Caenorhabditis elegans: one gene and its partner. The protein of the gene in region 1 interacts with the protein of each later gene in a pairwise test. Each region holds a gene or a part of one and is shown on either strand. Other genes may lie near its edges. The genes, in order: somi-1 and hda-11.

Evidence for each region.
Region 2: the proteins of somi-1 (region 1) and hda-11 interact in a two-hybrid assay, tested with the Caenorhabditis elegans proteins (one large-scale study listed by BioGRID).

What each region holds. Positions count from the first base shown.
Region 1 is NC_003283.11:13,385,552-13,393,619, forward strand, and holds somi-1 (Zinc finger protein somi-1), read right to left. Parts: upstream 5,845-8,068; 5' UTR 5,835-5,844; coding exon 5,754-5,834; intron 3,940-5,753; coding exon 3,355-3,939; intron 2,927-3,354; coding exon 2,134-2,926; intron 2,093-2,133; coding exon 1,950-2,092; intron 1,245-1,949; coding exon 1,098-1,244; 3' UTR 511-1,097; downstream 1-510. Other genes in the region: Soluble guanylate cyclase gcy-34, read right to left, coding at 21-94, 295-297. UniProt on the Caenorhabditis elegans protein: DNA-binding protein which binds to the promoters of let-60, lin-14 and lin-28, possibly to regulate genes involved in hypodermal and vulval development.
Region 2 is NC_003283.11:10,524,389-10,529,160, reverse strand, and holds hda-11 (Histone deacetylase 11), read right to left. Parts: upstream 2,978-4,772; 5' UTR 2,852-2,977; coding exon 2,841-2,851; intron 2,773-2,840; coding exon 2,548-2,772; intron 2,351-2,547; coding exon 2,240-2,350; intron 2,194-2,239; coding exon 2,102-2,193; intron 2,036-2,101; coding exon 1,923-2,035; intron 1,367-1,922; coding exon 1,212-1,366; intron 1,164-1,211; coding exon 1,025-1,163; intron 924-1,024; coding exon 765-923; 3' UTR 717-764; downstream 1-716. Other genes in the region: F25D1.3 (Interleukin-17), read right to left, coding at 266-397; xpo-7 (Exportin-7), read left to right, coding at 3,291-3,305, 3,352-3,489, 3,539-4,366, 4,417-4,772.

The DNA of each region.
Region 1 (8,068 bases):
TTGAAACTTTTGAAACTCACAGAACTTGCAACCACACATCTTCACCATATTTTCGAATAACAAGTTGTCGAATACTTTCATGAATGAAACCAAACTGAAACAAGTTATGAAAGTAATAATTTCTTTAACAGAAGAACACTTTCGCCAATTATTGAATTCTATAAAATATAGTGCGGAATTAATTTCCGCTTTAGAATATTCTAAGTTTTAAACGGACGAATTCTACACATAAACTCAAATTAAATACGGGATATTGAAAGGACTGTTTTCTTTTCAATTTTATTAGAATCTTACCATTTTGAGAAGTTTTTTGAACAGCTGCAGAGAGGAATCTACTCTCGTGAAATGAAATGAATCTATCAAACATTAAATGAAATCGCGTGCCTACCAAATTATGAATATTCTAGTTGCTGTGAAGACCCCGTATCGTGAATTGTTCATGATACTACCACGATACTGGGCGGTCATATGTTCGACTTTCTATTCCTTGTAAACAAATTCAAACATTTTTTTGAGAAAATTGTTCATCTTAAAATGAGAATAAAAGTCTTTTCATAAAATGATGGCAAATCAATAGAAAAATTGTTTCCTATTTTGTGGATAAGGATGTTGGCAAAAATTATATATTTAGAGTAGCACCTGAGTAGATAAAAAGTAGAAATTTGAAGAGGAAAGAAAGAATAAAGGGAACAAGGAAATAAGCCGGGAGAAAACAAGAGGATTTTGTGAAATGTGTGTGGACCTAGCGAGAGATACAAACAATTGGTAATGGTAGGGGGTTTTCTAAACATAAAAATCTCTGAGAAGCTAACTAGACGGTTTGTTGCTAATCACAAAACATGGCACTGGTCATCGTTGGGGGAGAGAAAGATTAGAGCAAGAAATGAACAGAAGAGATGAAAGATGACGTGGCAAAAGAAACGTCATGAGCATACGGAGTTGAAACGTGGAATGAGATATGTTGATGGACCGAGACAAAATCGTTGCCTTTGTCAAAATGTATCAGAATACGATGACAGATTGAATAGTTGATAAAACGGAAAGTTAAAAATTGAGCATTTTAGATGAAAACCTTTAATAGAAATTTTAGAGAATATTTACAAAAGCATTGGTGGGGGTGGAGGTGGTGGTTGGAAGTTATTTCCATTGGAATATCCTCCCATTGAAGATGAACTGGATGCTAACGATTCAAGAAGAGCACCAGTTTCCGAGTTGAGAATGTTCTTGAAATCAATTGATTCGCTCTGAAAAAGAAACAATATTCATCTTTGATGTACATTTTTTATTGACAATGAGAGAAAATTGTCTTAATTTTGTCAAGATTTTCAATTTTTTTAAAATCAATTTTTTGTTTAATTTACAAATGAAAGCATCCATTCCCTTTAACTACCTCATTTTTGTTTTCATTCGAAACACTCAAGAATTCTACAGTATCTAAATGAGCTTCCGGTCTTTTAACTTCAGTATAGTTTATCAACAAAACCTATAGTACAAAATTGATTAGTTAGTACTACTCGGCTACTAGTTTTTACGTTTTTGTGGCAGGTAAACAACTTTTTTCAAGTAGACTGTATTTTACATTTGAAAGAATCATGTGTGGTTTGTTTCTGTTAATTAGTCGGGATAAAGGCAAAATTTTTGAAAAAAAAGAGTAGGCTAGGACATCAAATTTCAGAGTTTACAGAAATATTGAACATTAAGGATAATTTTTTGATGGCATGAGGTCATACGAGTTTTACTGTTAGACTTCAGTAAATGAACACGTCACTGAATAATGGATTTCCCGAAATTTTCGTAGGTCGAAAAGAAAGACCTTCTGAATACAAGTCAGTCAAACGGAAATTTGGAATTTTAATAACAACTTTCAGGATAAATTAATTATCCAGCTGAAATTTTTTTTTGCATTTAAAATTTTAAATTTAAACAATTCACTAACAAAAAAAACAAACCTCTTCTGTGTTGTTTTCCTTCTTCTTTCGTGGCTTCCTTCCTCTCGAGGAGTTTGCTTTATGAGCTGCCAATCGTTCCTGTAGCCGATCTCCACTGATTCCAAGATTCGAAGCTCGCATTCCTTCCAACTTTTGATCCCATTCTGAAAAAAGTAACCGTTTGGGTCGATCTCGATACTATTACCTTTCAAACTTTTAAATTCAGGCTGCGGATGGCACGTGTTTAAATGACGTTTCATGTTTCCCTTGTACACTGTCACAAAATCACAATCTTCGCAGATATAGGCATCTTGAAGTACTGCAGTTTCTGTTGATGTTCTTTCTGTGTTCTCGAGCATTGGTGTCGGGTATGGTTCGTATGCGGAATTGGAATATTCTCCTGGAGAGCACAAGTCTGAAGAGTTGGCTCCATAGAATGAGGAAGATGGAGGTGAAATTTTTGGTGAATTCATCATTCCACCACTCATTGAAGAAGAATCATGATCATTGTATTCATGTTGATACATTTCATTTTGTTCCTTCTTTACCTTCTTTTTTGGAGATTGTTTTTCATGAGCTTCAACTCGATGCCTTTTCATTGGCTCTGCACTCTTTCGACACTGATTTATATGTCTTCTGATGTTTCCTTTGTAATGACTAATAAATCGATCACAAAACGGGCAAACTGGTGACATTCCATCGGCTCCGGTGGTTATTGCTCCAGACTTGATAGCTGCATCAGTACCAGGGATCGGTGGATTCACACCTTGCGCAAGGGCATCTAAATAGTTTCTGCCAATTATTTCACGACACTTCTCATTTCGTCCAATGTGCCCCGTGAGACTTCGACGTGATGGATAGACACCTCGACAAGCCATACACATCACGCGTTCTTCGTCACCGCTTTCGAGATCAGTGTTGTTTAGATCAATCCCGAGTGGTGGAGTTCCTGAGCCAGCGGATCCAGATGACGTCAAAGCGGGACTATTCAGAGAATTCTGAAAATGGTATATTTAGCAATATATACAGGAAAATAAATATTTCTCTTTGATGTCCTACAATCCGACAATCTAAACTATGTAGTTAAATTAGATTTATCAAAATTTACATCAAATATCATAAAACAAATATCGTAGAAATATACCATTCCCATATTTTTATGTATTATTTCTAGAGATAATTTAATAAAAGCTTAGTCAACTTTTCCAGCTACATAGCCTTATTTCAGTCTCTTTTTACAACTTATTGCTTGGTTTCTGTTAGAGATTTCATTTAAAAAAATTTAACTACAGTGCTGTAGAAAAAATCAAATATTTTGTCAGCTCACTTATTGATTAAAAAAAAATTTTCAAGATATGATCTGCAGAAGATGAGCAATGCAACAAGCTAACACTTTTTAATTATAAAATTTCAAATGAAAACTCACATCGTCTGAGGGTGAAACAGTTGCAGCTGAAACAGAATTATTCCTTAATGTTTCTGCGCTACTGTTACTGGTGCTTCTATGCACTCCATTCGTAGATTTTTGTGTCGCCGGTCGAAGTGGTTCAGGTCGAAGAACTTGTTGTTGTAATTGTTGTTGTACATTACTTGCTTGTGCAACTTGAGCAGCCAATATAAGCTGTTGAGTATTTGGTACACCGGACAGAGATGGAGCATAAAATTGTTGGCCAGCGGCATAACCGGATGTCCTTGGATAATATGGACTTGAATTTGTAGAAAGCCCTGGTACTGTTGGCATGTAACCTGTCGCAGTGGCACGGTAAGCATATGGTGGATCAAATCGTACTGGAGGATCATAGGAATTACCAACCAATGGTTGAATTTGGGGTTGCTCGAAAAGAACTGATTGAGATAATTGCTTTCCAGACCATTGTTCTGGATAGACAGAATGATCACTCAACATCGCATACGTGGATCCAAACAGTTCTGATGTTCCTGTAACGGCTGACGACGACGTTTGAGCGTGCCAAGGTGAGAAGGATTCAATCTGTTGACCAGACATTTTCCCCTGAAAAATGTTCAATTATTATACTTCACAATGACCTAGATCAGTATTTTTGTACTCTTGTATGCCTCAAAAGTACTCGAGTCTGAGAAGGTGTCGCGCGAGAGGTACAAGTGGCTACTGATTCTGTGGGAAGATAAGGGAACCAGTAAACAGTATGGATGGTTCGGAGAACATAGAGAAAAATAATTTAGGTAGAGAAGGGGAAGATTAATGAATCAACCAGAGGAGAGTAAATCAGACGTGATAAAAAGTGATCATGGAAATGATTGGAGGGTCGATGGAAAGAAAGCTGCGTTGATTGGGGGGAGCGCAATGTGGTGGACACTAAAGATAAGGAGAAGTTTGAGAAATTGAGTTTAATAAAAAATTCGTGAGCTTTAAAAGAAAAAAATGAGACAGACTAATAATGTAGTTTAGTGCTTCAGAAGTATAATCTCGGCAATTCCCGGCAGCTTCTTCCCCAAGTTTGGACCTTTTCAGCTTCTTACCCAACTCTTGCCAACTTCTAACCCAGAGTATGCCCAAGTCTTACCCAACTTCAACAATTCTAGTGTAAACTCCCTCGCCCGTGTCTTGCCCAAGTCTTAGCCAAGTCTTGGCAACTCCTTATAAATGTTTTTATTTTTTGGGCAAGGCTTGGGTAAGAAGTTGCGAAGCTTTGGGTAGGAAGCTGGCGGCAAACGCCGAGAAGATGTGAAATCTATTGAATTTGAACCTTTCCAGCAAATATATGACAGATCTTTAAATTTTTAAATCCAGAATACAAAAATAATCAGAAACATCCTGTTTCCTAAAATAAAAAGTAATTACTCGGAAAGCTCGTACGTGTTCTGGTCTAGATTGATCTTGCTATAAAATAGTTAATGATTTTTAGAAAATTATCACAAAATTAATTGGGCCTTTGGAATTTGTAATAGAAAAACTTACGTAGTATCCGTACCCCAAAGCTTGATAACCATTTAAAAAAAAACAAACGTGGCCTTATTCACAAATTTAGAAATGGTAGTTTTTAAGCTTTCATGAATTTTGAAATTTAAAAAAATTATTAACATTCAAATTCAAGCAGCTGAATTTTTATTCTCAAACACGTATAACAAAACTTCCAGAACTATGGAAAAACTACTAACCGCTCTAGAACTTTTTTCGAAAATTTGCATATACAATTTAAGTTCTATCACTATTATCATAATCCGGTGGCCTCTATAGTCACAAAAATAAAAAGTAAAAGTTGGAAGTTTGGAAATTCCAACTGGTCACAAGACAACGCTCGTAAATCAAACTTTTTCATGAAAAAAGAGAAAACCGAGAGGGGGACAAAAGGTCAAATTAACTTTTAATGCTTAAGATGGCGGCGGTCGAAGCTAATTTGCCGGAGAAATATATGACAGCGAATGGTCTATGAATGTTCTGGAATTTCGACTTAAAAAAAGTAAAAAAGCTAATGAAAAATTTTGTTGAAATATAGAAACTTTCATGTAAGGTAAGAAAAATCGTAGTAGTAGTAACCCGTAGTAAGTGGAGACGTAGAGAGGAGAATGTTGCGAGATGGTATCACATTTCCTTACCCTAACGATGCATGCTATCGGTTCAAGGTCTTCCTGTGCCTCCTACAACTACCCACATACCTACAGTATTCTTTCTTGGAGACTTAGAGACGTTATGGGGGAGCGCCACGGCTCTTCTCTTCCCTCCCACCACTTGTCTGATGTTTTATCAGTGCAATGGACATTGGGGCACCCAAGGTTAATGGGCGGAGCTTTTGGAATGATTGGACCTATGACCGTATCCTTCAGTGTAGGTTAGTGAGTTCATACCTTATTATTCAAATCATTCAAGTTTTCAGCCACTTTTGTGTTGTTATTGTCGTTGCTGGTGATAATGGGTGGTTTGAGCATGCAACTCCCTGTAAGATTATGATCATTTTCTATCATCTCTTTCAGGAGAGAAGACGGAGGTGAAGAAAATGGGAAAGAAAAAAACGAGGGAAAGGGTCAAGAAAGGGATAGAGGGAGGAAGATAAAAGAGAGACTAAAATATAAAGAGAAATAGAGGAAGAGTGACCAATTTGAAAATGAAAGGGAAAGGAGAAATGGGAGGAAAAGAGAAGAAGAAGGAAAAACACAGATGATGAACTTTTTCCGATTTTCCCACGGTATCCTCTCTCTGTTCTTTTGTCAGAATTTTTTAAAGGAAAAGTAGCTTCTGGTAGTTTCTAGCTCTTGCCCCATGCTTTCAATAACCAAATCAGTCGTCCGAATTGCATGGCGAAGGGCTCCGGATGTAGATGTAGCGTCGAAGTCTTCTACAAGCCCCTCCCGAAAACTAAATTTGTGTTAGACGCTCGATGTGTATGCGGGCTCTTGTTGAGACGAACAAACTCACTTATTTGACATTTTGTTCCATGCCATCCGCTAGTCTCCACCACCAGCAATAGAAGCAACAGAAGCAACAGCAGTCACCACACTCTCCCTCCAACAATATTTTTTACAGTAGTCTAGTCAAACGGAAGGGGACGAAAAATCGTCGATCTCCGTCGTGAAAAGGTGAAACATTTCGCGCAAAGTCATGGTGTGTGTGTGGACACAACCGACTGGTCACATGAAATGTGAAAAGCCATAGAAATTCAAGGTTGAAGTTAAGTTAGCGACATTGGATAGTTTTGCTGCTATTCTCACTGCTTCTACTGGTCAAACAAAAAGCAAAGAATCGCCGCGCTAATCACGCAATATTTAAGACCTTGAAAAACTATATTTTTTGCGAGAAAATATCCTTGAAGCACGTAGTTTTGAAACAAAGGTTCCTACTGTACTGGAATCGGATATTTTTCATTTAAATTAGGGAAAAAATTTAATGAAAAAAATATTTGGAATATTGTTGAAAATTTGTTTTTTATTAAAATTTTATAAAATAAAAAAACATCTATGATTTTAGGTTTTGATTTTACTCGGGTTGGGAATTGTCATTTAATTTTTCTCTTACACTCTCTTTGAACAATATGCTCAAATTCAATTTCACGGAAGAATTTTTTTCAGTTTTTTACCGAATCATTGATATAAAACAGAACATGGCCTGAATGTGCCATATTGAAGCTCTTGCTCAACATTTTCTGGGTATATCAAATGTATGGCACAAATTATTTCTGGTTTGGGTTCATCTCTATGCTTTGCGGTAATTGGAGAGGTCAGATTATAATGCGCATGTGGTGGTTCACTGTCACATTGGCTACACCTGTCTAAGTACCTTCATATTTATAAAATCAGATTTTTGATGCTCAGAGCGGTGGTTTTAATCAGAAAAAGAATTTGAAAAAATAATAGATTGGGCCAGCATTTATCCACATAACCTCGGTCAATTAAGGTTTGCAAAAAAGTTTTTAGTTCTATGATGCTTTCATTTTCACTTGAGCTATATAAGTTCACTTAAAACTAAAACGTCTACATTAATATTAAGTTATTATTAAGGTACATAATATTAAGGTACAGAAAATTTTGAATTTTCAAAACTTCGAGGAAGTTTCAAAAATTCAAGAAATTGTGAAAGCTGTTCGAACTGTGAAACATAAAGTTCAATTCGTTTGAAAAATCGCTACATCGTTTGTGGAACCGGTTTGTCCCCCTGATGTCCACCATCTTTTCCTTCTTTCTTTGAAACTAACCATAAAACCTACTCGCAATCCAATCAAAATTCGAAACACTTCAGGACATGCGTTCACAAAGAGATAGACAATGAAAAAACAACAAATATGATGAAAAAAGATGATCATGATAGAAGGAAAGAGGAAGATATTTTGAAGAGTACGTGTTGGATACGGGGTAAATGAGGGTACGGGAAGGTGGTTGGGGGATAACCGGGGAGGAAAATTGAGGCAGTTGGCAACATTGAGAGGTCCCTATGGGAAGGGACACACACGGGAGGGAGATACAAGAGTGAGAGAGATACGAGGAAGATACGAGTCAATCGGACAGACCGACGCAACAGTTGCATTCGGAGAGGCCAACGTCGACCCGATGCGACGTCGACGGTGGTGATGGTGGCTGCGGCGGCGGCGACGACGGCGGTAGCTGTTGCTGCAGTAGCAATCGAGGGGCATGTAGTGATAGTGAGACAGACAATCTATTCGGACGTGTTA
Region 2 (4,772 bases), 2.9 Mb from region 1:
GAATTTTTTTTAAAGTTTAACAATTTTCTGTAAACTTCAATTTTTATATTTGGTCATTTTAGACTGATGGGGGATAAACATGAATATCTATATGACTTTTTGGCCGATTTTCGAGATTTTCCTAAACTTACACTTGGGTTATACTTTCATCCATTTTTCACGCATATTTACACACTTATTGAATAAATCTATGTAAAAATATCTAACAATATCCAGAACATGCTAGTGAAACTATTTACTCTCAATTAAAAAAACAAAAACTAACCAAACTAGGTGGTTCTTCACAATGTTTATCAGTCCATTTACCATTGACATGCCTTCGAACATTGTGTCGTTTTGCTGTCGTGCCTATCACTACTCCAAGAATTAAAATGAAAGCTGTACGGAAGCAAATCATGTCGCAATCGACAGAAGAATCAAATAAAAGATATAGGCGAGAAATGACTGTGTCTCTCTGTGTGACCCTTTACCCGATGATGACCTAGTGACATCCACATAAAGTGAAAATTTGGGAGGAGTCGAGGATTCATAAAAATTGAAAGTTTTAGGAAAAGTTCATATTCAGAGTACTTTGTATTATTTTGGATTGTTTTATTTTTAATGGAATCGGGTTGATATAGAATGTTTCAAAATCATCCATTCGATTTTAAAATGAAATTTTGAACTTGATCCTTCTATCTATTTAGTTTCCCCTGCCATTAAACAATAAAAAATAGTTTAATAAAAAATAATTTATAAGGAAAAGATATGCTGATATAACTTTTTTATTTGATACTGATGAGATTCTTTGACTGGAGATTTTCAATTGATTTTGCAATGAGAAGCGCGTTGTCCTTCTGATACCCTCCACTGGTTACCATGCAAATTGGAATTCCTTTTGATTTTGCTAGATTGAACACAACTTCGTCTCGAGCAATTATGCACTGAAAATTTGATTTTCAAAAAAATATGCAACATCTTATTTCAAAATAGACTATACACCAAATACCAAACTCGTATAACAATATTCCTTGCTTTCACACACCTGTGGACTCAATTTCATTGCTCCCAGAGGATCACCAAGTAGACAGTCTGTGCCAGCGTTGAACATAATGAAATCGAAACCAGGAGGAGTAGTTTTCTCTCTATCAATTAAACACTGTGCCAGTTGTTTGCGTAATTCGCTAAATAAAGTCGGTCAGTGAAAGCAGAAAGCCGCTATGAATACTTACGAGAGGTAGGAAGTATCAGTCGTATGACCATTTACATGAACCGCTCTGTTAATAAATTGACGAGCTTCACGATCATGTGGATAGACATATGGATTGAAAACATCAAATACAAACACATTCGGATTGTCAGCAAAGTCTCGTGCATGGCCATTTCCCTTAAAGTATGATTCAAGCAAAAAATTGGATTCTTAAATTTTAATAATTTTTTTAAACAATTAATATTGTGATTAATATTTCGAATTAATATCTAATATTTGAGAAATATCTTTACGGGCTAGACATATTTCATTCACGTTCCAAATGGTTTTCCAAAATGATACCGTAGTCTATAGAATTCTTAACGTAACTGTAAGGTAGCTAAAATTTGAGGACAATTCTAACTTTGAAAGCTCAGATATCGGCCATCTATGATTTTAGGCAAAATACTTCCTTCATGTGATGTCAGACTGTCTCATTGCGGTTTGATCTACAAAACATGCGGGACTTTTTCCCAGAAAAATTGTGACGTCAGCACGTTCTTAACCATTCCAAATCAAATGAGATGTCTGCGTCTCAACTCCCGCATTTTTCGAAGATCAAAGCGGAATGGGATTTTCTGACTACACGTGTTCCTTTGAGTTATATGCTGTCAAAGTTGAGCAGTGAAGGTGCCGCACGCATCAATAGAAAATATACGGTATTTTATATTCTTTCAAATGTTTTTTCCAGTACCTGATGAGCATCTAAATCTACAACAATCGCGTTGGCAATTGCCTTTTTGTCAAACAAATCGAAAATTGCCATGGTGATATCAGCGTAAAAACAGAATCCACCTCCGCCCGAATCTGAAATTATAGGCTGCTGTACAATCCCATAGCGTCTATTTTTCTTGCGGAATAACAAAAACATACGAGAAGCATGATGGAAACCACCACCCACGTTGATCGCCCAACCATGTTTTAGAGCCAAATTGGCAGCTAAAACTGTTCCACCGGCTTGTAAACTGGAAAACACAAATAAATGAATACAACAATTACTAGGAATGATACCGTAGTGGATGCAATAACTTGCTTTCAATAATGCACGGTGGAAGGCAACCGACAAATGGAATCTCGACGATTTGTGCTGCTTTAATAGGATTTCGAACACTTTTCAGATATCTAAAATAATATGAATAAATTTTTTTTATTAGTTGAAATTGTTGAACGCCTCATCTAACTTTTTTTTAGAATGTCAACTATAAACGTTATGAGCTTAATTATTTTCTTTCAATTTAAGTATGGGGCCATACAAACATGATTTTTTCATAAACCAATTCCACGATTCAATCACATTCACAACACTTTCATGTGCCTACTTTCTATCATGTACTCTAGTGAGTTCTTCAAATGTCGGTAGATTTGGCTCAACGAGTGTTTCATCAGTGATCAGATTCATTTCTTTCAAATGTGTAATGACTCTTCTCCATTTCGAAGAATCAAATGGATGTAAATGTTCGATTCCAAATGCAGTTACATTATATTCAGAATGATAGACAATTGGACGTTGATAACTTTTTAAACTAAAGATTTCATCTTTATCTCTGAAATTATTGATATTTTTGGCATTTCCAACTGCATGTTGTACTACAGATTAAATTTCAAAACTCACCGCTCTGCCATTCAAAATCTGCGTAGAATGAGTGGTTAGAGCGGATAAATAAAGAAGTAGTCGTAAAGATTCTGTTTTTCTTGTTTTTGTTATCAGAAAACAGATAACGAATTCTGAAAATAGTGGAAACTGCCAAAAGATGCCAATTGTGGCGAGAGAGCCTGTGGGATGTAGAGTAGGATGAGAAAGGATGGCCTAACTTTTTTATCGGCCATCCGCCGTGTACTTCACCAGGACAAGATGTTTCGTCTTTCAGAAACTCAAATCATCACCAAAGTTTGCAGTTTTTCGAAACAATTAACGGTGGGAAGACGCCGAATTAATTTTATCCGTTTTAAACATTCTTTTTGCTTTTCAAAACATTTTTCTCCTCTTTCTCAAGCTATAATTACTTCTGAATTGGATATTTTAGGAGTGAATCGCTGAACAGCGGATTCGAAGTCTTCAAAAATGGATGAATTACCGGTTAGCATTTTCAAAATTCTTAATGTGCATTCTAATCTTATTTTAGGTACTAAACAGTCTATGCAAAGATCTATATGAGAGTGTCGATCCGCAAGCCCGACACCGAGCCGAGAGTAACCTTGCGGAACTGTCAGAGTCACCCGAATGCCTTCAAAGATGCATGCTTCTCTTTGCACGAGGAGATGTAAGTCGAAATAATAAAAGTGTTAAACAATTTACATAATGATTTTCAGTACCCATACGGACCAATGGTAGCAAGCACCACACTAATGAAACTTCTCGGCGGAAAAACTAGCATCACTTCTGTTCAGAAGCTCGAGCTTGCAAAATATTTATTGGAAATGCTAGGTCAAGGTGCACCTCAATTTCCTCCATATCTCGTCACATCACTTTGCCAACTTTTTGCAAGACTCACGAAACAAGAATGGACGTATCAAAATCCCACAGAAAATCAAACAGAAGACACAAAAATTGAATATCCATTTCGTGATCCGGTTGATAGCCTTGTCAAAACAATCAACATGGATAATATCGAGGAAAGTATGCTGGCCGTGCAACTGTTAACCTTACTCGTTGCTGACATGAATTCAGCTTCGGGAATGGATTCAGTTAACAAACATCGCAAGAATCTTTCGCAGTTCAGGGACGATTTTTTATATGAGATTTTCTCGGTATCTCTGAATGTTTTGAACGATAATGTGGACAGAAATCTGAACGATCGCCAATTGGGTCTTCTTCACGCGGTTCTCAACTTGAATCTCCAATGTCTACTTTTTGATTATATAGGAAGTTTGACAGACGAAACAAGTGAAGACAACTGTAATGTGCAAATCCCAACAGCATGGAGAGCAAGTTTTACTGATGGAAAAATTGTACAGCTTATGTTCAAACTTTTAAATGTGCTTCCACAAGAATCAAGTGAAAAAGTGATGACAATAATAGCTCAATTGGCAAGTATTCGAAGAACGCTTTTCAATGGAACAGAGCGACAGGCTTACGTTCAAAAACTTGTTGAAGGAGTTGTCAGTGTAATTATGAACCCTGGGAAGCTTAGTGACCAGGTAAGAATAATGAAAAATTAAAGGCAAACATATTTATATACCTGATTTAGGCCGCATTCCACGAGTTTTGCCGTTTGATTGCTCGTCTGAAAACAAATTATCAGCTGTGCGAGCTCATCGCTGTTCCCTGCTACAGTCACATGCTAAGGTTACTCGCGGAATTCACTGTACAAAGCCTACGAATGATGGAGTTCTCAGCCAACAGTACATATTTTCTTATGACATTCTGGCAGAGAATGGTGACGTCTGTTCCATATGTTCGAAATAATGATGAGCATCTTCTCAACGTTTATTGTCCAGAAATCATGACAGCATTCGTCGAGAGTCGATTACAACACGTTGAGAGCATTGTCAGAGAAGGAGCTGAGAATCCATTAGATGATCAAGGAGCAACCCTTCAAGTTAT